4 linked regions of the Pelodiscus sinensis genome follow. The protein of the gene in region 1 purifies or fractionates together with the protein of each later gene. This does not show direct contact. Links are inferred from orthologs where the notes say so. Each region holds a gene or a part of one and is shown on either strand. Other genes may lie near its edges. The genes, in order: RBX1, FBH1, COPS7A and EEF1A1.

Region 1 (7,355 bases):
AAATTTTCAGTCTTTACTTTGTGGTAAGGTTGACTGTGCTCCTTTTCTGCATTTGCTACCACTCACTGTATGCTCGTCTCTCTTGCAATCCTAATTTTATGTATCCAGTTTCCTTACCATAATAACGGGAACTGCCTTTCCTTGCAATCAACAAGTAACTGATGGCCAACAGTACGCAGGATGAGGATGACCCTATCCAGAATCAAGGGTGAACCTCTTGCTACATAAGCATGTCAGTTCTCAGCACAAGAAGAGGATGCCCTATTCCATTTATTCCCCATTCCTTACCTGCATAACATCCAAAGGCATTCTCTGCATTCCTGACATAGTTCTGATGTTTCCCCTCTGCCAGGTACACCAGTGCTTAGCCTTCAAGGTTTGCCCACCACTGCTGGTTTTTATAGAGCTGTATCAGAAGCCTTAACTTCTTCAAGGATCATTCCATTTATTTCAGGAGACGCACTGCCACAGCATACAAGACAGGATATACTGGCACAGCAGGAGCACAGTTGGGCTTTCAAATCACAATAGTGAGCTGGGACTTAGCATTGTGATGTACTTTGGTCCTACCGGATAAATACAAATTACTGGCAGCTCTTTAGCCTCTATTATCCCAAATAAAGAGACGTGGCTGGGATCTCAGTTCCCTCTAAGGTGCATGCCTCTGCGGCCATGCATGAAGAATTCTAGGCCTGCCCACCTCATCTGCAGGGCCTGGAAAGTGACTGGCGAGGTGGGTTCTAGCTCCTACAGCTGCCATGTGGCCTGCTGCTCTGGCAGGTGGGGCTGGGGCCGCATGGTCGATGGCTGCTCCGGGAGCTGGGGCCAGGACTGCATGGTGGGTGGGTGGCTGCTCCGGCCAGCTCTGGCTGTGGCTGCATGGCAGACAGGAGGCTACTCCGGCCAGCTGGGACCAGGGCTGGGGCCATGTAGCAGGTGGGTGGCTGCTCCGGCTGGCCGTCCAGAACCGCGACCATGGCTGCGTGGCGGATTGGTGGCTGCTTCGGCCAGCCAGCCAGAACTGTGCCTCCCATCTGTGTCCCTTCTAGTCTGTTTTTCTCTTCCCTTTTTTACCTCCATCCCTTCTCCAGCCACTTCCCTGTCGTAAGAATTCTAAGTAAGGCTATAACATTTTGACTAACCAGCCTACCAAACAAAGAACTAGGATTTCTCTTCTCATGCCCCCTCTGGCATTACTCCAGATCCCCCACCCTTTCCCAATATAATAACTGTGAATTGTTTTGCTCAAATAATGTTGCAGAAGAAAATCAGAATTTAGGAAGACAGCAAAAAGTATTGGGATGAAACAAGGAACCAGTCCTATACCACTGAAGTTAACTAGAGTTTTGCCATTAACTTAAAAGAATGCAGATTAGAGCTCAAATGTTGTGGCTTCTACCCTTTGCAAAATGGTTATTAAGGGTATCTGAAAATAGTTTTCTTTCTGTATCTGTTGTTAGGTAAGATAGTCAAGCATGATGTGACTGAGTTTAAGTTCGCGGTTCCGGACGGTCATACTGTGTACAGATGTGGTTTCCTCACCTCAAAAAAGAAATTTTGGCCTTGGAAAGGGTTCAGAAAAGGGCAACTAAAATGATTAGGGGTTTGGAATGGGTCCCATATGAAGAGAGGTTAAAACGACTGGGACTTTTCAGTTTAGAAAAGAGGAGACTGAGGGGGGATATGATAGAGGTATATAAAATCATTAGTGGTATGGAGAGGGCGAATAAAGAAAAGTTATTAGTTCCCATAATAGAAGAACTAGAGGACATCAAATGAAGTTAATGGGTAGCAGGTTTAAAACTAATAAAAGAAAGTTCTTCTTCACACAGCGTGTAGTCAACCTGTGGAACTCCTTGCCAGAGGAGGCTGTGAAGGCTAGGACTATAAGAGAATTTAAAGAGAAGCTAGATAATTTCATGGAGGTTAGGTCCCTAAAAGGCTATTAGCCAGGGGATAGAAATGGTATCCCTGGCCTCTGTTTGTCAGAGGCTGGAGAAGGATGGCAAGAGACAAGTCACTTGATCATTGTCTTCGGTCCACCCTCTCTGGGGCACCTGTCAGCAGACAGGCTACTGGGCTGGATGGACCTTTGGTCTGACCCAATATGGCCGTTCTTATGTTCTTATGTAATCTAAACTTCCACATGTACCAATTGGACAAAATATGCCTGTATGGTTTGTTTAGTCATTAGATCATCTGCTAAAAAATTCTGAACTCAAATTAACATTAATATAAAGCTGTCATATTCCATTATGCTAGATGTACATCGCTATACCTCAGTTTCCCCTCTGTAGAGTTGTGAGGTCACGTGCATTAGCGATTGTGAGGAGGTCAGACACTGGAGTGAAGGAGGGCAGTGTGAGTTCCTTGATAGACAGACTGCATATGTCCCATTGAGGCTGGGGGAGCTCCATTAACACAGGCTGTGTAAACCTGAGCTCTGATGCCTTCAGGAAAGAGTCACGCTTCCCTCTGTTGGTGTAGCTTCTCCCTACCTGGCTGTGGGTCTCTTTCCATGTTCTCCTCACATTGGAACTAACCAGCCCCTTGGGTCTATCTCATGCCTTGTCCCTCATTTGTCTCCTATGGTCCCGGGGGGGGGGGGGGGGGGGGAGAATAGCTGCAGCACAGTGTTAATTATACTTTTAGTATTCTTTCTTCTATAATGTTTATATCTAAAGATATTTGTTAGTAACTGGTGGGTGCCAGTGACACACATCTGAACATGCACACGGGACCTCAATATTGGTGCACAAGACAAAACTTACTCTGCTCAGGATGGAAAATCTTAGCGGGAACACTGGATGGGATGTCATTCAACACTGCAGTGCTCCTTATTCAGTAACCAGAAGTCACTGCTCAGCTACACAAAGTACAAGGCACCTGGAGGAGAATTTAAACACGTTGCCTCCCATAGCATTCCCAACACTCACTTTGAAAGGAAACAAAGACTGAACAATTTTCCTGGCCCTGGGGCAGTATGCAACAGCCTAAAGTCACCAAGGTGAGATTTTTTTTTCCACTGAAAAATGTGCTTTGCAAATACTTGTCAGAGACAGACTGAGCCTTAGGGCAGGTCAACACTAACCCATGGAGGCATCACAACTGAAAATGAGCTAGACCAGCATCAATCTAGTGCAGCGGTGGCCAACCTGTGGCTCGCGAGCCGCATGTGGCTCTTCAAAGGAAAAATTGCGTCTCTTCTCACAGTCCCTTGCTCTGACCTTTTCTTCCTTGTCTGGGCAGGGCGCTGCTTGGCGCAGCAAGATCTGATGCTGCGGCTGACAAAGGCCTGCTTGGGCCACATGTGGCTCTTAAAGGGGCAGCAGTTTTTTTGGGGGGAGGGGGTTGTTTGTTTTTTGGTTTTTTTTTGCACAACAACTTGTTTTCCTCGGCTTTTTGCGCTGTATCCACCACTATTTTGGCTCTTTGTAATGAGTCGGCCACTCTGTTCTAGTCTCCTGCATGGTAGCACAGAGCCTTTGCCAGCCACCACTGTCCCCTGCTGACAGGGAGGCACTCTGAAAGGCCATGGGAAGCTGCGCGTGTTTGGAAGGAGAAGATTTACATTTTTTTCGAAAGGCCCCTTTGGCAAAGAGGAGCCCTGCTGAGTATTTTAGTGTGACTCGAAAATGCTCATTGCTAGGGGCACAACCGAGTGGGTGCAGAAGACTGATGGGCAGGACTAAAGGCACCCAACTCTGCCTTCTCGCCAGGGCAGCACGAAGCGCTCAGCACCCGACTGGGCCGGTCACTCTCCTGCATGTCGGCTTCTGGAGAGGAGCTAAGCGCCGGGGAGGCAGCAGCGCCGGCGGCGGGCAGGGCTCCGAGCAGCAGCAGGGCGGCCCAGGCAGGTGCATGTGTGTGGACGGGCACAGAAAGGAAGATGGAGGCGCAGAGCCCAGCGCTGCCCCACTGCCAGCTCCCCGCTTTGCAGCGCAGAGCGGCGAACAGCCTCCGTAGGCACCGGCCCGGGGCAGCCACACGCGGCTCGGCCCCGCCGCACGGAGCCCCGGCCGGTTCCAGCACGAAGCTCTGGGTCGAGCGCGGCCCGCAGCTCTCTCCAGGGCGGGGCAGACAGAGGGGAGGGGCGGGGCGGGGCGCCCACCAGCACCCCGGCTCTCGGGCGAGAATTCTTGCGTCGCCCTTTAAATGCTGCTGCCGGGTTCATTCCATCCCCCCGCCCTAAAGTTGCGCAATTCTGTCATGCGGGCGGGGGAGGCTGACTAGGGCTCCGCCCTGGCTGGCGCCTTTAAGAGCTCAGCGTCACATGATGCTTCCTTGCGATCTTTCCCCTCTCCCTCCCTCCCCTCACACCTGTTTGCGTGCGGGGCGGGGCGAAGGGAAAAGAACTGTCGCGAGTCTTTGGCCCTTTTCTCGCGCATGCGCACTCTAAGGGGCTGGGAGTCGGGTATCAAAATGGCGGCAGCGATGGATGTGGACACCCCAAGCGGTGCCAACAGCAGCGCCAGCAAGAAGCGCTTCGAAGTGAAGAAGGTGTGGGTCTCCGGCGGGCGCCGCCCTGGCAGCCGCGGGAGAGGAGGGGGGAACGGGGCGGTAGCTCCGGGGCGAGTTTTGGTCTCTTCAGAGGCCGGCTCTCCGGTTCCGCACTACGCACGAGTGGGCGGGGCTCTGGGTTTCTGGCGCAGTCCGGGGCCAATAGCTGAAGCGGGGTGACTGTACGTGGGGGACGGAGGGACCAATCAGTGGCGCTGTTGTTGCCGGGTGACAGCAGCGTGTGGGGGCGGGTCTGTGTTAGGGAGGTGTCCGCTCTGTTACAGGGAGTGGGCGGTGGCGTCCCCCCTTGAGGGCGGGGCTGCGCCGCGGCTCAGCCTGTTCCGTCGGGGCGATGCTGCGGGGCCGGGGCGCGGCGAGGGGGCGGGAAGTGTCGCCCCGAGGGGACGTGGCCGTGGGCAGGCTGCCTGGCGCCTCTGGTGTGGCCTTGAGCCAACGCGCAGCCACCCGCCACGGGCCCTCGCAGCCGCTTTTAGTTGGGTGATGTGAGGACGCTCCCGCCCTGAGTGGGTCTGGTGGCCGGGTGCGGGCGCTTTCTCCCTGATCCTGAATTAATTTTCGGCGTGGCGCAGCCCCCCGCCACCCCCTCTCCTGACGGCGCTGCTGTTCTTCTGCCGCAGGCCTTGGTTTCCCTTTCCCACCCGTTGACCTTTGCTTCGAAGCCTATCCAGGAGGGAAGACGTGTTTGTTTCTTTTCCTCTACCCCCAAAAACAAATCGTCAGGGACCCAGCGAGCATGGCAGCCCAGGAGTGGGCCCTGAGTAATAAAGCTTAATGGTGCCCCAGTCCTCTGTCTCCCTCAGACACCTGAGTGGCAGCAGTGGTGGCTGCCCCGTGCCAATACTGTGCAGTTTTCTACATGACTGTGGGTCAGACTGGTGTATGCTCAGTGAAGTTTGTCTTAGGTGCCCTTCATGTCAGAACTCTCCTTACTCGAGTCAAAGCTCCTAGTCATAGGCTTATTGGGTACTCTAGCCTTGCCCTATGGGCATGAATAACATCATCACCAGAAATTAAGACTAATAGCTGATTGGACCAGCTTCTTTCCTCCTTTATAGCAATATTGGATTTACTGAGCTAACAGAAGTAAAATAATCAATAAAATCCAGATTTTTTTAAACCATAAAATTAATAGTTATGACTTGAATACATCAAGTCTGCTGAGTAAAAAGGCTTTTACAGGTTTGCACAATAATTAATTCTCAGTTTAGAATCACACTTTAATGATAGAAAATACAGGACTATGTAGCACTTTAAAGACTAATAAGATGGTTTATTAGATGATGAGCTTTCGTGGGCCAGACCCACTTCCTCAGATCAAATAATGGAAGAAAATAGTCACAACCATATATACCAAAGGATACAATTTAAAAAAAATGAACACACATGAAAAGGACAAATCACATTACAGAACAGAATCATAGAATAATAGGACTGGAAGGGACCTCGAGAGGTCATCGAGTCCAGCCCCCCGCCCTCAAGGCAGGATCAAGCTCCGTCTACACCATCCCTGACAGATGTCTATCTAACCTGTTCTTAAATATCTCCAGAGAGGGAGATTCCACCACCTCCCTTGGCAATTTATTCCAATATTTGACCACCCTGACAGTTAGGAATTTTTTCCTAATGTCCAATCTAAACTTCCCCTGCTGCACTTTAAGCCCATTACTCCTTGTCCTGTCCTCAGAAACCAAGAGGAACAAATTTTCGCCTTCCTCCTTGTGACACCCTTTTAGATATTTGAAAACCGCTATCATGTCCCCCCTTAATCTTCTTTTTTCCAAACTAAACAAGCCTGGCTTCATAGGTCATGTTCTCTAAACCTTTAATCATTCTTGTCGCTCTTCTCTGTACCCTTTCCAATTTCTCCACATCTTTCTTGAAATGTGGCGCCCAGAACTGGACACAGTACTCCAGCTGAGGCCTAACTAGTGCAGAGTAGAGCGGCAGAATGACTTCACGAGTTTTGCTTACAACACACCTGTTGATACAACCTAGAATCATATTTGCTTTTTTTGCAACAGCATCACACTGTGAAATTTCCCCTTCCCCACCTCTATTATCATTAACTCACTGGCATTCACCTTCCTTCTCCTCCCCCTCCCCCCCACATCCTCCTTCTGTTCTGTAATGTGATTTGTCCTTTTCATGTGTGTTCATTTTTTTTAAAATTGTATCCTTTGGTATATATGGTTGCGACTATTTTCTTCCATTATTTGATCTGAGGAAGTGGGACTGGCCCACGAAAGCTCATCATCTAATAAACCATCTTGTTAGTCTTTAAAGTGCTACATAGTCCTGTATTTTGTTTCAGCTACACCAGACTAACACGGCTACATCTCTATCACTTTAATGATAGGACCATGTATGTTCTTGGACCAGGGAGTCCTAGTTGCGAACCCCAGTGGCAAGAGGGCTGGCGGCTTGGAGCTTGGTGGGGTTGGGGCTGGCGGCTGGGGCTAGCAGCGGGGAGGGAGGGTAGCAGGGGACCTTTTCTGGTCTGTCAAATTCCATCATTTGGGGCCAGTTAGGTCCCGAAAGTGCTAGACCAGAGAGGTCCAACCTGTATTCAAAAACCTACACTGGAGCCGCAGATAGGCCATCCAGTTCTTTGTGCTAGCTCTCATGACATTTGAAAGAAGGAACTTGAGTGCAGCATGGCATATTTTAACTAGTTGATTGTCATTGTGGTGGCAGTGGTGACTTATTAGTAGAGCTGCTGCATATGGTCATCCCTAATGGTAACTTATTGGTAGGGCTACTGCTCATTGTGGTATTTTCCATTTGGTCAAGGAGATCTGAATTGGTTTTCCAGTACGATTCTCACTTTCCCTCTT
Region 2 (7,259 bases), about 86 Mb from region 1:
ATTAGTTCCCTTCTTCACTGAGAGGCTGTGAGCATGTATTCGTTAATGCCATTAAGTGCACTGAAATCCCTGAATGGAAGCTGGTACAGAGTATTAGACAACAAACACCGAGAGATCTAATTAAATAAGAAGGCGTATTAAATAATGAATATGCAGGAGTGTCTCCATAAATGCGGGAACAAAATACAGGACTATGTAGCATTTTAAAGACTAACAAGATGGTTTATTAGGTGATGAGCTTTCGTGGGCCAGACCCACTTCCTCAGATCAAATAGTGGAAGAAAATTGTCACCGCCATATATACCAAAGGATACAAGTAAAAAAAAGTGAACACATATGAAAAGGACAAATCAAATTTCAGAACAGAAGGGGGATGGGGGGGAAGGTAAATGTCTGTGAGCTAATGATATTAGAGGTGATAATTGGGGAAGCTATCTTTGTAATGGGTAAGATAATTACAAAGATAGCTTCCCCAATTATCACCTCTAATATCATTAGCTCACAGACATTTACCTTCTCCCCCCCCCATCCCCCTTCTGTTCTGAAATTTGATTTGTCCTTTTCATATGTGTTCACTTTTTTTTAAATTGTATCCTTTGGTATATATGGTTGTGACAATTTTCTTCCACTATTTGATCTGAGGAAGTGGGTCTGGCCCACGAAAGCTCATCACCTAATAAACCATCTTGTTAGTCTTTAAAGTGCTACACCAGACTAACACGGCTACATTTCTATCACTATTCCATAAATGCGGATACTGCAGTATCTATTGCTTAGAGCTCCCATTGGCAGCAAGCAGGCTGGCCTACCGAGGCTGGTGTGCGCACTTCAGCTTTTCAAAGCTAGAGAAAGGCAGGGGGGATTTGAAGTTGGGGTAAAACAGGAGTTAACCCAGGCTTGGTGTAGGACTCACCCCTTCTTGGGAGGGGAAAAGACTCCTGACGCTGAGGCCAGGCCTACGCTGGCAGATAAAGTTGATGTAATATACGCAGTTCCAGCTATGACAACAGCATAGCTGGAGTCGACTTACCTTACACTGATTTTCTGGGGCAGCCCCACAGCAGAAGGTCAATGGGAGAAACGCTTCTATCAACTTCCCTTACTAGGAGTACTATGGTCAAAGGAGGCCCTCAGCTTTCGATTTAGTGGGTCTTTACTAGACTACAATATGGGTGATTACAATATGGATCAATCAACTTCTTTCCTTGTGGACAATTAGCCCTTTCCCGCTGCTCTTCCCTCTGTACCCGCTCATAGAAATTGGGGTTAAATTCTACTTGTTGCACAGAGTTGATATTAACATTTTCTCTCTCTCTCAGCTCTTAAACCTGTTTAGAAACACTCTACCTTCTTGTGATCTCTTGGTCCTGTATGTTGGGTAGAGGCCTCTGTTTAGATCTCTGCTCACTCGTCTTTGACTGAAAGGCTGTGTCAGGGAACAGGAGCCTTCTCTGCTCTGCCTGAAGGCTTCACAGTCGCTGGCGGTGAGGCGCTTTTGTTTAAATGGTTTCACTGTCACCAACGTGAAAAGCAAATTGCACGGTTGTTAATTCAATTACATTGATGTTTGTTTTCAAGTGACATGCTGTGCCTTTGGTACACACCTACAGCCAATTAGTTTCCTAGCTCTATGGGATGATCCCAACATTGAACCAATGTACCTTCTTTCAATTGCCTATGCAGAAATATATGCAGACCCCTGACGATATTCTGTAGAGTAAAATAAAACATCAAGACACTCTGTACTGTCCCAGACTAAGTTTACACAGTAACATCACTCTTGGTGTCTCATTCATCACCGTACAGAACTTTGGGGTATCCTCCAGTAAGCAATTGCTACGTCACTGTAGCACAGACAGCTACTGTAGTGACAGGAGTTTTGCCAGTGATGTAGTAAATTTGCCCCCAGGACAGGAAGTGGCTAGATCAATAGAAACAGACGTGTCCACACCTGGGTTTAGGTCAGTTTAACTCCATTTCTCAGAGCTGTGAGTTTTCTACACCTCTGAGCAACGTTTTGGGATCTGGTTACAATCGAAAAAATAATCTAATGTAGATGGGTTTTCAAGCCAATTGCACAAAAAAGCTAAAGCGTTGGACATGTCCAGACTAGGGATGTTAAAGACTAGTCAACTAGTCGACATCCTCCCCCTGCTGCAAAGGAGGGGGGACTTTATGAAACCCCAAGGCAGCCGCTGCACAACTGATACGTGGATCAGCTGTGTGGCGGCTGCCCCTTTAAAACACTGCCTCCGTGCATTTCAAAGGGGCAGCTGCTGTGGATTGAGAGTCCCCTGCTGACCACAGGCTCCATGACTTTGAAATGCACATTTCAAAGCAGGCATGCCCCAGAGTCAGCGGGATTTCCGCTGGCCCCAGGCTGTACAAGGAGTTCCGCATTCCTCCTTTGAAATGTAGAAGAGCCACTGCTGGGGCTCTTGTACATTTCAAAGGAGGAATGCGGAAGTGCCTGTCAACTAGTCAATTAACCGCATTTTAACATCCTTACTCCAGACTTGTTAAACTTCAGTCTACACTCAAAACTGCAAACTCGTAACTGGGCCCCTACTCAGATATATTTGCAGTGTAGCTCTTACCTCTACAGTTGTCAGTTAACTAGAAAATCTTGCGAGCAATATTTAAATGTTCTACTGTAAATGCATATGTGCAACAATACCATCTACTTTGATAATAGGGACTGGCAAGGATAGATAACTTAATGTCCAGCTATAGAATTATGAGTTAATGATCATGTGCAATAATCCTTCCAGATGCAGTAAAAGCCTCCAAGCCACACTGCTTACTTGGCTTCAGTTTTTAATCAGAGAATGATATCCCATACCAGAAACCATACCCAGGATATCCATGAAGCGAGTAAGTGCTTTTGGCTTCAATTAGCATCCAAAGGTCAAGTCATTTTCTTTCATGTCTTCCTCCCCTCAGAACTATTACATACACCACTAAGAGCTTTAGCAAAGACCCCTGGGGTATGTAATGCCTTATACAACCACCACTTTGCTGTCCCAAAACATACCAGAAGCAAATGTCTACAGAGGAAATATTTGCTCTTCAAGATGAGATCCTTTGAAAAAAATCCACTTAAAAATTATTTCTCTCTTATTAGGAGAGTAGACACAGAATTCAAATTGGGAAAAGGAACTAGTCCAACTTTAATCATTATTATCAATAAATCATAACCTATTTGCTTCAATGGTTCAAGATCTTAAATATCCCAGAGAACAGGATCAAGCGGCTACTTCTGCTTTGGCCATGACCTTGGGAACTCCACCCAGGGCATTAACTGCCTTTACCTGCCCATGCCTATTCCTGGCCCCCAATGCAAACCCACCCCAGATCCTACCCCTGGCCCCAAAGCAGAACCTGATCCCTGTCCCCAATGCGTAATACCCCTCTACCCCAATCCCCGCCCACAGTGCCCCCCAGGCCCAACCCTTCCCCTCAATACAGACCCCTCCCACCATCGACCCAGCCCCCTAGCCCCCACCCCAGTGAACACCCCCACCCCATGGAATGCTCCTGCCCCCAATGCGCCCCAGGCCCTAGCCCCGCCCCAATGCGCCCCAAGCCCCCCCCAATACGAGCCCCCTCTGGCCTAGCCCCGCCCCCAATGTGCCCCGATACCCTAGCCCCGCCCCCAATGCAATCCCAGGCCCTAGCCCCGCCCCACTACGGAGCCCCCTTAAACTGAAGCCCCGCCCCCAATGCGCCCCGAGCCCCCCATACGAGCCCCCTCCGGCCCAAGCCCCGCCCCCAAAGCACCCCGAGACCCTAGCCCCGCCCCCAATGCAATCCCAGACCCTAGCTCCGCCCACTACGGAGCCCCCTTAAACTGAAGCCCCGCCCCCAATGCGCCCCGAGCCCCCCATACGAGCCCCCTCCGGCCCAAGCCCCGCCCCCAATGCGCCCTGAGACCCTAGCCCCGCCCCCAATGCAATCCCAGACCCTAGCCCCGCCCACTACGGAGCCCCCTTAAACTGAAGCCCCGCCCCCAATGCGCCCCGAGGCCCTAGCCCCGCCCCCAATGCGGATCCCCACAGGCCCTGGCCCCGCCCCCCAAGGCGCCTCACTCTGGTCCCGCCGCCGTTCGGGGCCTGCGGGGGCAGCGCCGCGTCCCGACTCCGACCTCCTGCCCACGTACCCCGCTCGGACTTCCTGGGAGCCCGCCCCTGCCGCTGACTGACTCGGCCGCCCGCCAATCAGAGAGCGCGCAGGCTCGGCGCCGCCCAACCAGCCCCGCCGTGGCTCCGGGAGGGGCGGGGCCACGTCGGCCCCGAGGGACGAGCGAAAACGTTCCCGGAGTTTGTTTACTTCCTCCGCCCGCTGTCCACTCTCCCCCTGCGCCGGGCGTCCCCCGCGGGCTGTGACGTCACGCCGCGGTGTGTGGGCGGGGTCAAGGCGGGCGGGGGGCAGCGTTACCATGGCGATGCCCTCGGTGGGCCCGCCCCAGGCGGGGGCCCCGCTCTCAGCTGCAGGAGGCGATGAGCCGAGGGACTTGCCCCAGCCGGGCGGGGACTTGCGTTAGGGGCTGCAGCGGGCCCCGGTGCCAAAGAGAAAATGGGACCCCCCCCTTGCCCCCCCCGCCCAGTGCTGTTGCCAGTCGCTGCGACTCGGCAGCCCCCCCCCCCGCCTCTCCCCTACAAGGGGCTGGCCCCTCCCTTCACGCCGCTTTCTCCCATACCCCCCCCCTTCTTTTCCCAAAAGGAGGCTTTGTCCTGTTTGCGCTTGGCAACTTCATTAGCTGGCAAGAGCAGACGGGATAAATGCCTCCTTGGGGGGGGGGGGGGGTCGGTACCACCAGAACATGCCTTAAAAAAGCCCCTGCCAAGATGGGACCTGTGGATATGGGCCCCTGCCAAGATGGGACCTGTGGATATGGGCCCCCTGCCAAAATGGGACCTATGGATATGGGCCCCCTGCCAAGATGGGACCTATGGATATGGTCCCCCTGCCAAGATGGGACCTATGGATATGGGCCCCCTGCCAAGATGGGACATATGGATATGGTCCTCCTGCCAAAATGAGACATGTAGATATGGCCCCCTGCCAAAATGGGACATATGGATATGATCCCCCTGCCAAAATGGGACATATGGATATGGGCCCCCTGCCAAGATGGGACATGTGCATATGGCCCCCTGCCAGTTTCATCTCCACCCACTTGCCTAATCTGATCCATTTGCTAAGGCAGATTTAAATCATCCATCTGAGATAGGGAAGCAGCTCTGTTCCAATAGCCCTGCCTGGAAGCAGCGAGCACAGTGCTCCTAAAATAAAGTGTCAGGGCAAACGCTATTTGTCCAAAAGAACACAGCCAGTGTTAGGGGAAGGAATTCAGTGCTGCACGCCCCTGCAGCAGCCGCTCCAGCAGCCTTCAGTGGACGCTGGTGTATCTGATGTGAGCTTTTAATCATGTTAATGTGACACATGAGTAGCTGGGGTCTTTTTCACTTTGTGTAGCTGACCCCACAACCTTTTTTTTACCTTTGGTAACAGGATAATGTTATGGCTGACTGTTGAAAATCCGGGTATTAAATAATAATTGCTGTCTTTATGCATAAGATCCAATACTGATGTTTTTTATTTACTGTGTTTTCAGTTATGGGAGGGGGAAGTATTTTTATTCCTAAAAGCTTTTTTATGACACTGCACATCCACTGGCTCGCAAGCATACACGTCTGAGTTTTCTTGTGAACATTTTAACCCTGTGATGCCAGATATCAGACACTTGACAGCTTTGATTCATTTGGTGGGAGAAACCCGTGTTTTGGATTTTATATTAAGGCTGTTTTTATTATCATAGATTTTCCAAGTAGCGTTTAAAATCTCATCAGTCATTTTATTCTGAAATCTCCCCGTCTCAAACCTTCTTGTTGCTGTTTTTGAATGTCTTAGGAGCCGCACATTTCTCCATGGCAGAAGCAGAAAATCAGAAACAACTTCTCAGGCTGATTCAAGAAGGCAGGCTAGACCTTTTCCAAGAGGAGTTGCAGAAAGACGAAGAAACGAGCAAGGAAGTGAGGCGGAAACACTATGGGAAATCTGCCGACACTGTACTTCACTATGCAGCCAGGCACGGTCACCTGAACATTCTGGTCCATTTAGTAGAAGCCTTGGAAATGGACATTGAGATGGTTAATAATGACTACAAAAGGCCCCTCCATGAAGCAGCTTCCATGGGTCACAGGGACTGCGTGTTGTATCTATTGGATAAAGGTGCAAGGATAGACTGCTTGAAAAAGGCAGACTGGTAGGTCACAGGCATGTTTCTGAGGACAGGACAAGGAGTAATGGGCTTAAAGTGCAGCAAGGGAGGTTTAGATTGGACATTAGGAAAAAATTCCTAACTGTCAGGGTGGTCAAATATTGGAATAAATTGCCAAGGGAAGTGGTGGAATCTCCCTCTCTGGAGATATTTAAGAACAGATTAGATAGACATCTGTCAGGGATGGTGTAGACGGAGCTTGGTCCTGCCTTGAGGGCGGGGGGCTGGACTCGATGACCTCTCGAGGTCCCTTCCAGTCCTATGATTCTATGATTCACTGTAGGATCTCGCTAGTTTTTGAAATGTGTTTGGGAGGAAGAATTGTCGAGTTAGCACATAGGTCAAGGTCTAATCCAGATCTCCCACTAACTCACTGAATGACCCCTGTAAAATTGTGCTGGTTTTCTTGCCTTTAAAATCTAATGAGCACTGAAACTAAAAGGCAGAGGGAATGAGAAATTCATGGGCAGCTAATAATGAGCCTTAATTAATTGATATGTGGAAAACAGTTACAATGGTTAGCAGAATGGGGACCTGATAATACAAATAATGATATGCTAATACAAATAATAATATTCTCAGATGAAAATTGCTGCATCAGTGTAAAATTATATGGCAAGGGCCTGAAGCTGTATTATTCACCAAAGTAGTGGAGGGAAAAGATTTCCATCACATAAGGCACCCTGGAGTTCTCAGCTAATATGTAATGTTGACATTAGAGCATGAATAGGAGGTACTGACCTAATTGTTATAATTATAAATCATTAGTCAGTTAAGGATTGTTGACATTGACACAATACGTGCGATACTTGTCTCATACAATAAATGCAGCTACATTGATATCTTATAGTCCCATAGCATCTTTCATTTGTAAGAACTCCAAAAGCAACAGTGCATACTTGTAGAGCCCTGTGCAGATACAAAATTGGTATCCACCTCCACACGAGGGATGCAAAATTCTGCTTAATCAGATAAC
Region 3 (7,631 bases), about 49 Mb from region 1:
GCTTCTTTCCCATATTTGGAGGAGTCTCCTCCCTACTTGTGGCCACAAGAGGACTGAGAGCTGCCTGAAGTTGGGGTTGTCAGCAGTCCTGCAGCACATGTGCAGTTAGGGGCGCTCAGTGACTCCATAGGTCTGAAGTCTCAATAGCACTCCTGCAACATGGGCAGGTGTGGGTGTCCCATCTGTAGATCATGGCGGGTTAGGAGAGATCTCCTCACCACTCCTTCCATGTCAGCACCTCCTCACCACCCTAAAAGTCCATGGAAGAGGCTTGTCACCACTCCGACATTCTGGGGGGAGAAGGGAGCTGGCCTTGGGGGCTTCGTCCTTACCACTCCTGCAACGTGCGTGTGATGGTGCTGAGCTCCTCCCTGCGGATATCCCGCCCAATGCAGTAGTCGATCTCAAGGCGTTGATTGCGCTGGTCCAGGCTTCCGCGCAGCACATCCGCATACACAGCCTCAATAACTAGATCCTCCAGCTGCCGCACATTCTTCAGCTGCAACTGTTCCAGCAGCACTGCATAGGGGATACACTGTGGAAAGCAAAGGTAGTTAGTATGGGACAACCCCAACAAGAAAGGGGAGGGGGACTAAGCCATTACCTTGATCTTGGCAGCCAGAGTGACCACTGACAGGTGCCTCAGCTTGTTCTTTTGAGCCTCAGTCAGTGGCGGGAGGTTTCCAGCTTCGGCTGCTCTCAGGAGAAAGAGCACGGTGTTAGAGTTGGAGCTGTCCAATCTCACCTCTTCTAGTCTCTGGCTAGGGTCCTTTGCCCCACATCCATTCCTCAAAGTCTCTAACGTACCCTCTGCAAGGTATCTCCTAAAGCTCTCACACAGCTCTGCATGGAGGAAGCCTTCTCCTGGAATCTGTCTCACCCAGCTCCTCCTGCTCCTCACTTCCCAGATGAGCCCTAAATAAATCTTCTCTTCATCCACATCCCTAACCATTGGCAGATGGCCCTCATAATCAGACCCCTCATTCCTCACCTAACTGGAGCCATGAAGCCAAATGGAAGTGTTGTACACGTGGAATCTCCACCCAGAACTCCACCTGTATTATTTGAATTCCAGAAGCATCTAGAACCCCAACAAAGTCAGGCTTCCATTGAGCTAGCCATTGCGCGCACACAGAGCAAGTGAGCCTGCCTGTTACAATGAACGTCCAGTCTAAAAAGGGACATAACGCAGAAAGAGCAACTGGCCTGAAGCCACACAGCAAGTGCAGTAGTAGAGCCGAGAAGAGAACCCCAGTCTCCTGAGTTCTAGGCAATGCCCTATCCACCAGCCTGTGCTGCTGCAGGACCCCTTTTCCCCTCTGAGCATTTCAATAGGTTGGTGAGTTCCTTCAACTTTGTCACTCTTTTTCTGCAAATGGAAGGTCCAACACTGAGAAGTATCCTACATGGGGTCTCCCCCAGAACTATAGAGAAAAAACACTATTCCCTCCCTGGGCTGCAATATGGGGCTTCTGCATCCCCAAAATTGCCCTGACCAGTTTTGAAACCTGAACCCTGAGTCAGTTACTTGCCCTTCTCCCCTCCCATCTTTAGGATTGCCAGTTTTCAAGTGGAACATGCAAGCCGAAAGGTATCCTGTCAGCTTGGGTCAGCACTACTGACTGGGTCGTTAAAAGGCCAGGTGGTGGAGTTGGCAGGTTCTTTGCCTGGCTCCAGTTGGTTCCCAGGAAGTGGAGACACATTCCTCTGACTCACAGGGGGTAGGGCAACAACAGAGACACCATGTGCTGCACCCATAGTTCCCCCTGGTCAATAAGCACTCTGGGGGAAGACACTGAGGACAGGGACAGGACACAGAGCTCCCTGGCCACCCCATCCACCTAGGAGCTGGAGGGACACATCACTGCTTCCTGGGAGCCACTTGGAGTAAGCAGCCAAAGCCCCTTCCTGTTCCTTCCTTCCCAAGCATGAGTAAGTGAGCATGGGGAGAGATGGAGTGAAAGGGGGATCAAGGAAGGGGGCAGTAGAGGAGGGTGTTTGGTTTTCTGCAGTTAGAAAGCTGGCAAACCTATCCACCTTGCCTGCTTCCCAGGAGAGCGGGAGGCGCCGGGGCACTAGGCTAGGGGCTGTAGGAGAAGGACACACTTACACAAGTAATCCGAGTAGGTCCCGTATGCGAAGAGCGTGAGCAGACGGAAGACGGAGGAGAACTCACTCTCAGCCAGCTGCAGGGGAGAGAGCACTCAGTACAACGGCGAGAAACCTGGCACGCCACGGCCGGGCCACTGCCCCAGGTGCAGGGGGCGCCTCGAATCCCGGCTTTCTTCCACCCCGCACCCCCAGCACGCGGTACGCTCGGGTGCTGTCGCTACCGCCGACACAGCTGCGTGGGGCGGGCAGGCGCTTCCCGGGCCGCACAGCGGCGGGCGGGCAGACTCCGGGAGGCTGGCAGGGGCATAGCGGGGGAGCCCCCGACCCCCAGTGTAACCCGCGGGCGCTGGAGGCCACGGGCAGCAGCCCACTGCTACTCCCACGCCCACGCGGGCAGGCTGGGCTGCGCCTTCCCGGGGCAGCCCCACGAAGCGCTCCCCCCCAGCCGCCGCAGCGCCCGGACCTCCTCCAGCCCCGCGCCGGCCGCTGCCCCGGCGCTCACCTCCCGGACGTTGGGCAGATCCAGCAGCTCCCCGAAGACGTAGATGCCGGGCGCCTCCAGCACCTGGTGGATGAGGCCGGCCAGGGCCGCGCCGCGCGCCGAGCGGGCCAGCAGCAGGAGCTGCTCCTGGCTCTGCCCCGCCGCCTTCCCCTCGGCTGCCATGCCCGGCCCGGCCCGCCGGCGCCGCGGGGACAGGGGCGGAGAGAGGCCGGGCCGGGGCCGCGCTCAGGGCAGAGCAGGCGCTGCCGGACCCGGGCTGCAGAGCGGCGCGTGCGCAGCGCCCCGCCGGGCTCCCAGCTGGGGCGCCCCTGCCCGCGGGGGGGTTCGGGCCCTCCCGCAACTAGCGCTTTTCGCCCCCTCTATGGCACTCCCCTCCCCCCATCGGCCACTTCCGGGTTTCCGACGTCAGGGAGCCACCAGGCCACTCCCACATCTCTTTTCTCTCTCCCCTCCATTGGGTCTGTGCCGCTCTACTCCCGCCTCCGCCGCTCTGCGATTGGCCCAGTTGAGTGACACTGGCGCTGTGCGGGCCCGCGGTTGCCATTGCACCAGCCCGCAGCGGGGAGGTGCCCCTGTCGGCAGCCGCGCGGCGCCGCTGGAGAGGCGCGAGCCCAGCACTCGCCCTGCGCGCTGCTGCGGGAGCGACAAGCTGCCATGGTCGCGGCACCGCCTCCCGCACAGCGCCGGGCGCGGGAAGCCCGCCTGGGACAGGCCTGCCGCTGCGGCACGAGCAGCAGGGCGTGCGGGATGCTCCCATTCCGCAACACTAGGCAGCGGGCACCCGCACCGACTTGCCAGCCCAGCCACTTACCAAAAGGGTGATTCTGTGAAAACCTGGGCAGGTGCAACCTCACCCACAGACCCAAACCACTCAGCCTGACTAAACCGGCCCCCCTTCGCCACAGCTCCGCTCCCGCCACACAGACAGGTCGCAGGCGTCCTGACAGTGAGTCTTGGAATCGTAAGGGCCCAGCCACCAGATTATCTTCTGACCTTGGTAGCACAGGCCACCAACACACCCAGGAGCTACACACTAAAGGGAACAAGCAACATTAGACCAAAACAGACAGTGGACTATCTTTGCACAGGCAGAGAATAGGAGGGACCAGTGTCCGATTTCCTGCTGCAACGCAGGGAAATGATTAAGTGACACATACCTAGATAATCATGGCAAGAGACCTGCAAACATGCAGTAGAGGAAGGCCATTGTGACCTGAGTGGAAATTCCTTCCTGCGTAAGGCCCAGACCTTTTCCTGCAGCCATGTTGTAAGGGCTGACTCTGACTACATCTAGACTACAGGCTTCTTTCGGAAGAAGCTTTTTTCAGAAGAGATCTTCTGCAAAAACTTCTTCTGAAAGAGCATCCACACTGCAAAAGCGCATTAAAAAGCAATCTGCTTTTTTGACAGATAGTGCCCAGACTCGCATGTAAGCTGTGATTGCAATGGCCAGAATGGCCACCAGGGTACCTGTACTTTTTCCTCCTTCCTCTTCTTCCAAAAGAACTCCCTTTTTCCCATCCATACGCACCTTTTTGTGAAAGAGTTCTTTCAGAAAAAGGCTTCTTCCTCATAGAATGAGGATTACAAATGCCAGAAAAACCCCTCTGTTCTTTTGATTTTCTTGCGGACGAATGCAATTGCAGTGTGGGTGTGCCTCAAGTTTTGTCGGAAAAACGGCCTGAGACCTTTTTTGAACAGCCACGAGCCAAGAAGTAGAAAGTCAGGTTCTCACATTCCAGCTAAATTACAGTAAAGCAATGTAATTAGGCCATTAAGGAAGTGATCCTGCTCCAACAGTGTATCCACCATCAGCCAATAAAGAAACAGATCTTAAGTCAGTTAAAGAAAACGTTGATAGCATTCTTTCTGGAAATAAAACACTTATCAGTGGTTGTGGCTGTGAAATCTCTACTTCTTTATTGTTTTGTTTTTATGGTTCCCACTTCTCTATCTGTATGGTCTCTGCCTGGTTCTTCAATTGTTTCTTTCTGTTATATAACTAATTTTGCTAAGTGTAAATCAACTATGGCGGCAGGGTCATTCTTATCGGTGCTGGTGCCACACTGTGGAAGGCAGAGGGTTGCCAACTCTCTTGAACAGGATGCCATTTGCTGCACTGGTGTCTCGTCTGGGAGAATTGGCAACCCTGGAGCAGGGCAGGGAGGGAGGCTCGCCTACAGCCTCAGAGTAGCAAGTAGGAGGCATGGGCAGTGCAAGCACAAGCTAGAGGAACAGAGGGCAGGCAGCTCTGTTGCCAGCCAGACAAATGTGGTGCTTTGAAGGGGAAATGGCTGCTTCTCTCCATCAGTTGGCTGTGTGGCTGCCCCTGCTCCTCCAATGTCCTCTGGTCCACAGCTCATGGGATGGAGGGCCAGCTGAGGGCAGGGGTGCTGGAGCCAGTGCTGAGCTTACCGGGGGAGGGGGAGGCGGGATGGGAGGAGAATCAGCTGGGGAATGGGACTGATGGGACTGCCAAAGCCAATGAAGCATGGCTGCTTAATATACCATCCTGTGGCGTATGCAGGATAGATGCCCTAAATTTAATGGTTCCCTATCCAGCTGCATATGCCTAAGGACACCTCTGTGTGGTGGTGGGGAATGATTGGTTAAAGAATTGTTTTACAATGTGTTAGAATTAGATAGAAAATTGTTTAATTAATACTTTAGTAAAATGATTGGTTAAGGCAGGGCTACTCAACATGTGGCCCATGGATTTCTGCAGTGCTCAACACGTGGCCCACGAGTGGGAGCCAAAATAAAAAAGTAGTCAGTATCATGGTCTTCTGTTGAGATGAGTTTTAGTAGTTAAATTCCTGGACTGTCATTGCTCATTAAAAGTTCTGTCATATGGGTGGAAATTGGGTAAATGTTGCATTTTATTAATATCAGCAGAACTGACTTAAATGGGGCCTGCGTGTTGTGTAGTCTTGCCTTAATCTTTGTATTCATTCCCATCAATATGAAAGAAGCTATTTGCATATATATTTGCATGTCTGCAACCACCGTCGGCATTTGCTGTGCATATCATTGTGGCCCCTGGGGCTTCCAAAGTTGAATAGCCCTGGGTTTGCTAAATGAGACTCAAGTTTCACTATGTAAACTTAGGTCCAAAAGGAAGTTCTTTGGAACCAGCTACAGAACACAGCCCCAACACCAGAGCTCCCAGACCTCCACACCCTGTCAATCACACCATGCAGAAGCTGAAATCCCCAGATGATCTGATCCTGGCTGGCCAGCAAGAAAAGTGCATCGGTTTTATTGGGAGTGGTGCGCATTGTATGCTAAGCGTGTTTATGCTGCTTTGGTGACTGTTCATAAACAGAGATTAAACATATTATTGCATAAGGCTCTTTCACTTGTAAAAGAGCCATAACCCTGAAGATCCTGAGTCCATAGGGAATGCATGTTATACCCTAGGCCCCATGGGGAGAGAGAGCTTGGAGCCCACAAAGGGATAAAGTTGAATGCCTTATACCCAGAGCCCTAGGAACTGGGAAAGGGTGGGAGGGCCTAAATGAAAGGGTTTTATGTCTTGAGTCCATTGAAAGGTGAAGGTGGTTGTGTCCCAGGCTGTGTCTACATTGGTGTGATCTTGTGCAAAAGCATCTGCTTTTGCGCAAAAACATGCTGCCTGTCTATACTGGTGGGGAGTTCTTGCGCAAGAACACTGACGTTCTAATGTGTGAAATCAGTGCTTCTTGCGCAAGAACTATGATCTTCCTGCTCAGGAATAAGTCCTCTTGTGCAACTGTTCTTGCGCAAGAGGCCAGTGTAGACAGGCAACATGAATTTCTTGCTCAAGAAAACCCGATGATTAAAATGGCCATCAGAGCTTTCTTGTGCAAGTGAGAGTCTACACTGGCACGGATGCTCTTGCGCAAAAGCACATCTCTTGCGCAAAGGCACATGCCACTGTAGATGCTCTCTTGCGCAAATACTTTAACGCAAGAACTCTTGCATTAAAGAGTATTTGTGCAAGATTATGCCAATGTAGATATAGCCCCTGTGTGTGTGTAACAAAGAATTTTGTGCAGGGAACAAGTGACCCTACAGGATGATGATCAGTGACTCTGAGCATGTGAGAAAGAACCTGCCAATCCAGCACTTGAGAGGGAGAATGTTGGTATCACCGCAAAGCCCTGCTCCCCCTCCCAATATCCCATCATAGCCATGGCCATCCCTGGTGCTTTGGAAAGAGCTTTAAAAATCTCTCCCAAAAAGCATGGGAGGGAGGGGGAATCTTTTCCTGACCCTGCCAGCAGTCAGCTGAAATCCTGAAGCATGAGCTATAGGACGATAACAAAGAAACCAGAAGTGAGTCTGAGGGCTGTGGATCCTTCCTCCTCTCCTGTCACAAGCAACCCCATCATATAATCACACTTTGAATTTATCCATCTTGCTCTTAAAACTAATTTCTTTGCCCCTAAAATTCCTGTGGGGAGGCTACATTTGCAACAGTTAGACCCTTCCACCCACAAGGTCAGGAACAGGTTCCCAAGTCTGGTCCACACTTGAAAGTGTCATAGGTATAACTGTTTATACTTAGGTTTGATTTATAGAATAAAAGCCATAGAGTGAACATAGTTGCACAGGTATAACAATGGCATACTTGTCAGAGTTATTTCCCTTTTTGTATGGGACTAGCTATTCTTGTCTAAAGCAACTCTGTTAATGTAACTGCATGTATTGTAAAGGGATTGTACAACTTTAACATTACTAGTATGTAGTTACATTTGGTACACATTTCAGATGTTGACAAGACCCAAATGCCCTCTGATCTACCTCAGTAGTTCTCAAATTTTTTGGCCAACGGCCCACCCCACTCAATGAAAATTTTTCCACGGACCACCAGCCAACCATCCATGATGACAAAATGCCTTCGCTTATCTCTAAATACCTTAAATACTAAATTATTCATATTAGGCTCCTGGAGCACAAAAACGTAAATACGCAGCTGTAACATAAGGTGGTGCATATAACCAGTAAGAAAGGAAATATCAATCAAATCAAATTT
Region 4 (7,639 bases), on another chromosome or scaffold:
AAAGACCTTCAAATGGTTCCAAACAGTACCTGTGCAGTGAAGCCAGCCGCTTCCATTGGGGGGTCGTTCTTGCTGTCACCAGCAACATTACCACGGCGAACATCTTTCACAGACACGTTCTTGACATTGAAACCAACATTGTCACCAGGCAGAGCTTCGCTCAAAGCTTCATGATGCATCTCAACAGATTTTACTTCAGTTGTTACGTTGACAGGAGCAAATGTTACCACCATGCCTGGTTTCAGGATACCAGTTTCCACACGACCAACTGGTACAGTACCAATACCTGAAAGAAAAAACCCTCTAGGATGTTTATTTCTTACAACTTAAACTTATACAAAGATTGACAAATGTTACCATTTCTGCAGTTTAAGGGTTGGAATGTCACTAGCAAACTGACAAATTTACAGAACTAGTCTTCACACAAAATACTAACCGCCAATTTTGTAGACATCTTGCAGAGGCAGGCGCAGAGGCTTGTCAGTTGGACGAGTTGGTGGCAGTATGCTATCCAAAGCTTCTAGCAGGGTAGTTCCACTTGCATTGCCATCCTTACGGGTAACCTTCCATCCCTTAAACCAGGGCATCTAAACAAAAAGCAGCACAAACATAACTTGTGTCCTTCCTATTCACATATCTGAATATTTACGAGTATTTCTTCTTTGTATCTTAAGTTGTGAAACATTGAAACTTGCCTTGATCTGACAAGTTTAACAATTTAATCTCCATTCAAATGCATATTATTGTGACAATTCACTCTGGCAGTCTTTTCAATTCAATTGATATACAAAATAAATGCAAACTTACATTAGAGCTAGGCTCCAACATGTTGTCCCCGTTCCAACCAGAAATTGGTACAAAAGCTACAGTGTCTGGATTATAGCCAATCTTCTTAATATAAGTGCTGACTTCTTTGACAATTTCTTCATATCTCTTCTGGCTATATGGTGGCTCAGTGGAATCCATCTTGTTCACACCAACAATCAGCTGTTTTACCCCCAGCGTGTAAGCCAGAAGGGCATGTTCACGAGTCTGCCCATTCTTGGAGATACCAGCTTCAAACTCACCAACACCAGCAGCAACAATAAGGACAGCACAGTCAGCCTTTGGAGAAGAGGATAATTAGTTTTTTACATGGACCACAAATAGATAACAAACCCAACTGAATTCACATTTACATACTTGTGAGGTGCCAGTAATCATGTTCTTGATGAAGTCCCTGTGTCCAGGAGCATCAATAATGGTGACATAGTATTTGCTGGTTTCAAATTTCCACAAAGAAATATCAATTGTGATGCCTCGCTCCCGTTCAGCCTTCAGCTTGTCCAAAACCCAGGCATATTTGAAGGAACCTTTGCCCATCTACAGGTGTTTAAAAAAGTGTGTTAGTACATCTTGCACTATTTTATAGCAGTTTAAATTATTTCCAATGCTAGTGGGAACATCTCAAAGTAGTAAAGAGCTTCCATTGCAGCTAGTTTTCTGTAATGCTAAGAGCACTTTGGCTTGAATACATTTGGCATCACTGGTGAGAAATACCATCTGTTTTCTGGTATTTGACCTGACACCACATTGGCCCTCAATCTCTTAATTATATTTAATACATCTCTTAAAGTTAGACCAAGCAGAGCCAAGGCTGTATCAAGTGTCCACTATAAGCTCTTGTTTTCATAGTACTGTAATCTCTTCCACAGCTAGAGTATGTACTATTTACCCTGGGGCAATTTTTGGCTAGGGTAATCTTGTCACTCAAGTTTGAGATGCAGTCTGTTGTAATGCTTTTCATTGGTGCTCTTTGTGGTACAAGAGCCATGTATTGCTCAGCCTTTAAAAAACCTAGATTTAACAGTTGCTGATACAGAGCAGCTTAGTGTTGTCTAATTGAAACCCCTGCCAGAGGCTGGGAACTCTGAAAATCCCTGCTGTACTTAGGTCAGGTCTTTTCTCCCAGTCCGGACGGATGGATTTATCTTTACAGTCTGCAGCAGTTTAAAAGAGGTGCTATTTCACCAACTGTGGCCTGGAGCAACCACACCCAGCTGCTGAGCCTCCATTCTGCACTGCAAGCAAGCTAGTGGCGGTACCTCCGCGGCTTCCTTCTCGAACTTCTCGATGGTTCGCTTGTCGATGCCCCCGCACTTGTAGATGAGGTGCCCGGTGGTGGTGGACTTGCCGGAGTCGACATGGCCGATCACGACGATGTTGATGTGGGTTTTCTCCTTGCCCATGTTGGGTGGTTCGCGGCGGCCGCTCTCGCGTTACAAGGGTAACTCCTAGGCAGGGAAAAGGCGGCAGGAATGAGCCCGGGCCCGAGCGCCGCTAACGGGGCGGCGCCCGGCGCAGGGCGTGGCGGCCGCGACTAGGCCCAGGCGGCACTCGAGGGCCGCGGCTCCGCCCACCCCGCGAGGGAGGGGGCACACAAGGCGAGAAACGCTTCCCTCCCACCGCGAGCGAAAGAGCGGCCATGCGGCCTGGCGAGCGCCGGCCGGCCCGGCTCTTTGTGTCACTGACTCACTCCGCCCGGACCGCCGCGTCCTCCATTTTGTGGCGCGTGTGCGGGAGACGCGGCCATTTTCGCTGAAAGGGGCGGCGAGGAATGGGAGCGGCCCCGCACTAGGGAGCGCGACCCCGCTCCCACCCCCCGCACGTCTGGCCGGCCCACACCGCCCGGCAGATGGGGAGCCCTCCCCCCCCCTCCCGCGCCGCGAAGGGGATTCCCCAGTCCGGGTTCCATACGCTACCCACCGGGGGCAGCGCGTGGCCACGTCGCCATTTTGTGAACCCCCCCCCGCCCACAGAAGGGCCCCCATCGTCTCGCGGCTCCCTTGCCTATCGCCAGCCCCAGCACGCGCCGCAGCTTCCCCGCTCAAGGCTGCATTCAACCACCATGCGCCTCGCGCTCGATTGTTCCAGCCACATAGGGCGGGCCTACCCCTCCCCCCACCGAGGCCTGCTCCACGCGGCCGCCTCTCACCTGCTAAGCGTCGGCAAACCCGTGGCGAAAAAGACCGACAATGTGAGCCGCTGCGCTTATATATCCTGTGCGAGGGCGGAGCCTCCGGGACACGTCACCGTTCCCAGCGTTCCACTCGCTCCTCCTTCCCACCGCCGCTGGCGTCGGGCTGGGCAGGGAGCCGGGACAAATATCTCTGCGCGCTGCGAGACAGGGGGCGCTGCCAGCCGCAGCCCCGCTGGGTGTCTCCGCTCGGAATTTGGTGATGACCCCTCCCGCGCGCCCTGAATCGCGGCAGCCCCTCCCCCCTCTCTGAGCGTGACCTGCTCCTACTCAGACACGGTCACCAGGGCAGGGCAGTCGGGGGGAAGGAATCTCCTGGCCTGTGTCCCATCCCCCTGCGCTGCCCCCCAGACCCTGCCCATGGGCCTGTCCCGGGACAGCAGCCCGCGCAGTGCTACCCGCCACGCACCGTCCCTCGGCACTCGCCTCCTCCAGCTGCTCCCCGTGCCCCGCAGCCCGTCTCTTTCTCACACAAGCTCCCAGGCGCCCAGTCCTCTTGTCTAGTCACCATAGCTACTTGCTTTCCCCTTCAGACGTTCAAGCTCTCCTACCCACCCTGGGTATGTGCAGCCTCGCCTTCATCTCCCGCTTTCCTTATGTTCCACCGACTGCCCCTTTCCATCCCATTCATTATTCCTGATCCCCAGAGATCATGACGCTTCCCTCCGTGTTAAAATCACCTTTTCCGCCACCTGTGCTACTCTATCCTTATATATCTGCTGAAAACACCATACTACTTTAGTCCCCTACCCCCACCCAATGCACCCGTGTTCCCTTTAAACTGAGCACTTGGGGAGCTGCATATGAAATTTAAATACCATCCAGCTGATCAGCACAGCGCCCACAGCCTCCAACAGCTTGCAGCATGTGTTTCTTTTGGAGATTCATGTCTGCACATGCCATGGTGCACATAAAATTTATTCTGCATCAACAGAACTTGGTCCTGTAAGAGGTACTATCTGTTAGGTCTACTATCCTGGGCCCAACACTGCTACAACAGCTTTTTATAAAAAGGACAACTTAAGGTTCCACTATTAATTGTTTCTCTGGATTAAGTGTGCTTACGTTAGGGCTTGTCAGCATTTTTAAATTAATTTGAATTAAAGGAAGGTGTGTGTGAATTTGAAACCTGAGTAAATCAATGCATGGACATTCTTACCCCAGAATAAGTGTTCCTTGCTTTTGGTTAGTGCATAAATTAAGCTAAACTGGGACTTCAGAAATTCAAGGATTCACCTGTTGACTAACTCTACCAAAATACCCATTTTATGAAGTGGATTTTACCCATGAAAGCTCATGATATATTTGTTAGTCTCTAAAATGCCACAGGACTGCTTATTGTTTTTGAAGTTACAGACTAACACCATTACTCTTCCAAAGAGAGACTCTCTTCCAAAATAGTTATTTCTGTACAATTCCAGGTGTATACAAGCTCTTACAAATTAAAAGATTATTTTTCTCAGTCTTCCTCGTTCAAAGTCAAGCTGGGATTTTCTTATGCATCGCCATTAGTAATAAGATTCTGCGTTACATATATTTTGTGGTGCTGCATGCATGCTATTCTCTCCTGTGGGGTTCCATAGATGAATTTAGCTGGACCCTCTGAATAAAAACAACTGTTTGATTCCTTCTCTGTGACAAAGGCACTTATTTGCACAAATATCACAAATTTGCAGTGCTATCTGCAGCAAAGATTTAATTTGCTCACTAGAATAAACAGATATCACTGAATACTCATGAGGTCTGCTCCCTATATTTATGTGTGTTGTCATTTTTGAATAGACACTCAGTAGGCTACGTCTAGACTGGCATGATTTTCCGCAAATGCTTTTAACGGAAACATTTTAAAAACATTTGCGGAAAAGAGCGTCTATATTGGCACGGACACTTTTCTGCAAAAGCACTTTTTGTGGAAAAGCGTCCGTGCGAAACTAGACATGGTTTTGCGCAAGAAAACCCCGATCGCCATTTTCACGATCAGGGCTTTTTTGCGCAAAACAATATTGCGTTGTCTACACTGTCCCTCTTGTGCAAAAGCATTTACGCAACAGGGCTTTTGCCCTAACGGGAGCAGCATAGTATTTCCGCAAGAACACTGACAATCTTACATGAGATCGTCAGTGTTCTTGCGGAAATGCAAGCAGCCGGTGTAGACAGCTGGCAAGTTTTTCCACAAAAGCAGGAAGTCTAGACGCAGCCATTAGCGTAAAACTTTGCTTTAATATGGTTGTGAAAGCTGTTCAAGAGTGTTCTTATTACCTGGGGAATCTGTGATGCACTTCACAGGACATTGAATTTTGAGACTGATGTACATCATATTATTAGGGTTCCCAGCCCGCGAAACTAAAGCAGATTAGAAATTAGCAGAGCACATGTTGAAATAAAGGTGCAGCTTCAATACCACCACCTTTCCTGTCATTGTCATTTAGCAAATGGATATTTGAGATTTTGGGTAATCAAAGGAATTTTCAATGTATTTGTAGATATTTAACCATATTTAGATAATAGTCTTCTATGTGACTATTGCATGGTATGTGTACATGAGTATATTTGAAGAATTACAGTTTAGTTTAATCATACTGAGGTGTTACAATGGATTATCACATATTACGGAGACATGCATTAGCAATCATTTTAACTGAATTTGACCACGGATTATGACGGGGGTATATTTTTCAATGTTTTATACTGAAATTCTTCATGTAATTAGTTTGGAGACATATTATTCAACACTCACATTGTTGGAGCTGTGCTTAGTTGTGCTTGGAATGACCACAATCCATAAAGACTGCTCTTGTCCACTCTATGGCTACATCTACACTGTAGCCTTCTTCTGCAAAAGCTTATGCAAACGAAGTGCAGAGTGGAATATCGCCATGCTTCATTTGCATAATCAATTAGCAGCCGCTTTTGCGCAAGAGGCTTTTGCGCAAAAAGGAGCTGTGTAGACGGCTCCTTTTTATGCAAAAACCCCTTCTTGTGCAAGAGCCGTTCTTCCTGAAAAAATGAGGAAGAATGGCTCTTGCGCAAAAGGGGGATTTTCCACAAAAAGGAGCCGTCTACGCCAAAAAAAGGAACCTCTTGCGCAAAAGCGGCTGCTAATTAATTATGCAAATGAAGCGCAGCAATATTCCACTCTGTGCTTCATTTGCATAAGCTTTTGCGGAAGAAGGCTACAGTGTAGATGTAGCCTATAAGATCATTTTCTAAACAAATCTGGGGAAGGGAATAAAAACTTGTATGGAGAAAGGATAGTCTTTGTTTTTCCTTTAGATATCCTTTGGTTGCCACCATCAGGTCAGTTCCACTAGGGCTTGAAATAGTGGAAGCTCTTGCATAAACAGCTATTTGCTTTTTAACTGATTTAAAAACGTAACCGGTTTGTCTAGGAGGTTATCACTTGCCAGCATTTTGGCTGCCTCTCCCCCCCACTACTATGATTCTCCTGCCCTCTGCCTTGGAGCTGCACCCCAGGATCTTCCTGCTTGCTGTGCGGGTGGGGGAGGGGGGAAAAGGCAGTGGTGATGTCAGGGTTTCCCTTTCTCTCCACCTCTGTACCACATCTCCACAGAGTGGGCAGGGTGAGGCCTCTGAGAAAGAGTATAGCAGGGCAGGGCCTCCAAGAAGGTAGGGGGGAAGGAGGTGGTGGCAAGTGTATTTGGGTTTAAGGTAGATCCTGGATTGACTTACATTGAAAAAGTAATCTTGTGCTTTAAAAAGTTGGAGACCACTGGTCTAGAGTCCATATTAAGCATGCAAATAAGTGACTATTTTCAAGAGTAGTCAGAGTTCTACATAGTGTCTCCTAGAAAGTCTACTCAATTTATTCCTACACCAGTCAAATAGGCAGTATTTTCTGAACACTCAGCCATCAGTCTTGGAGGTAAAAGAGCTCTCTGTCCAACCATTGGTTCCCCAATTCATCCAGTATCTGCAATAATTTTTAATTTGTTGCTGTAATTTCAAGTGATCTCTCAGTTCCACATGGCATAAAAAGAGTTTCTCAGCCTTCAGGCTGGTGGCAGATATGATTGAGAAAGATGAAAGGTGAGGAAAATAAAGTTCCAATAAACACTGGGGAGGAGCTGATCTAGATTCTAGGTCTTCTAGGAGCAGTTTATTGTAAGCTGCGCACTGTGCAACATCCAATCCATGTTCTGCAATGACTTCATGTCACTTCCCTCATCTGAAAAATAGGAATAATATCAGTCAAATGCTTTTGTATGTGTAAGTGCAAAGTATTCTAATAGTCTAACCACTCAGGTCTGACCATTCAAATATTCAGTTCCTGATACTTTTAAATCCTTCCTCCACTGACTGATAAATAGAAACTTCTGGTGGCAAGTTATTTTATAAGTATCCACCACAGGTTTTCTTGCACCTTCCTCTCAAGTAGATGGCATTTGCTACTGTCAATAGACTAGATGGAATTCTGAGCTGATCCAGTATGACAAGTCTTATCTTTTAGTGAAAAGATACAGAAAGTTTACACACTGTGCAGTATTTCTCCATGACTAGCCCTACCAGGAACCTAATAAGAAAGGGTGTAAGAAATGAACAAGAAGATAATGATCAAGACATTTTAAGTGAAACTCATCTGTTTAACTCAGTGATCACCAACCA

What was found.
Region 2: the proteins of RBX1 (region 1) and FBH1 purify together in Homo sapiens (affinity purification with mass spectrometry; 3 studies listed by BioGRID and IntAct, with this or other methods). This does not show direct contact. The link is inferred for Pelodiscus sinensis from reciprocal best matches to the Homo sapiens genes RBX1 and FBH1.
Region 3: the proteins of RBX1 (region 1) and COPS7A purify together in Homo sapiens (affinity purification with mass spectrometry; 3 studies listed by BioGRID and IntAct, with this or other methods). This does not show direct contact. The link is inferred for Pelodiscus sinensis from reciprocal best matches to the Homo sapiens genes RBX1 and COPS7A.
Region 4: the proteins of RBX1 (region 1) and EEF1A1 purify together in Homo sapiens (affinity purification with western blotting; 3 studies listed by BioGRID, with this or other methods). This does not show direct contact. The link is inferred for Pelodiscus sinensis from reciprocal best matches to the Homo sapiens genes RBX1 and EEF1A1.

The regions. Positions count from the first base shown.
Region 1 is NC_134711.1:89,607,889-89,615,243, reverse strand, and holds the start of RBX1 (E3 ubiquitin-protein ligase RBX1), read left to right. Parts: upstream 1-4,342; 5' UTR 4,343-4,386; coding exon 4,387-4,500; intron 4,501-7,355. UniProt on the Homo sapiens protein: E3 ubiquitin ligase component of multiple cullin-RING-based E3 ubiquitin-protein ligase (CRLs) complexes which mediate the ubiquitination and subsequent proteasomal degradation of target proteins, including proteins involved in cell cycle progression, signal transduction, transcription and transcription-coupled nucleotide excision repair.
Region 2 is NC_134711.1:3,369,481-3,376,739, reverse strand, and holds the start of FBH1 (F-box DNA helicase 1), read right to left. Parts: upstream 3,010-7,259; 5' UTR 2,868-3,009; coding exon 2,855-2,867; intron 1,513-2,854; coding exon 1,348-1,512; intron 1-1,347. Other genes in the region: ANKRD16 (ankyrin repeat domain-containing protein 16), read left to right, coding at 5,519-5,546, 5,914-6,268. UniProt on the Homo sapiens protein: 3'-5' DNA helicase and substrate-recognition component of the SCF(FBH1) E3 ubiquitin ligase complex that plays a key role in response to stalled/damaged replication forks.
Region 3 is NC_134711.1:138,490,553-138,498,183, forward strand, and holds the start of COPS7A (COP9 signalosome complex subunit 7a), read right to left. Parts: upstream 3,012-7,631; 5' UTR 2,777-3,011; coding exon 2,615-2,776; intron 2,187-2,614; coding exon 2,111-2,186; intron 694-2,110; coding exon 605-693; intron 536-604; coding exon 333-535; intron 1-332.
Region 4 is NC_134713.1:54,087,881-54,095,519, forward strand, and holds the start of EEF1A1 (elongation factor 1-alpha 1), read right to left. Parts: upstream 3,004-7,639; 5' UTR 2,975-3,003; intron 2,274-2,974; 5' UTR 2,229-2,273; coding exon 2,085-2,228; intron 1,363-2,084; coding exon 1,183-1,362; intron 1,105-1,182; coding exon 808-1,104; intron 588-807; coding exon 437-587; intron 287-436; coding exon 30-286; intron 1-29. UniProt on the Homo sapiens protein: Translation elongation factor that catalyzes the GTP-dependent binding of aminoacyl-tRNA (aa-tRNA) to the A-site of ribosomes during the elongation phase of protein synthesis.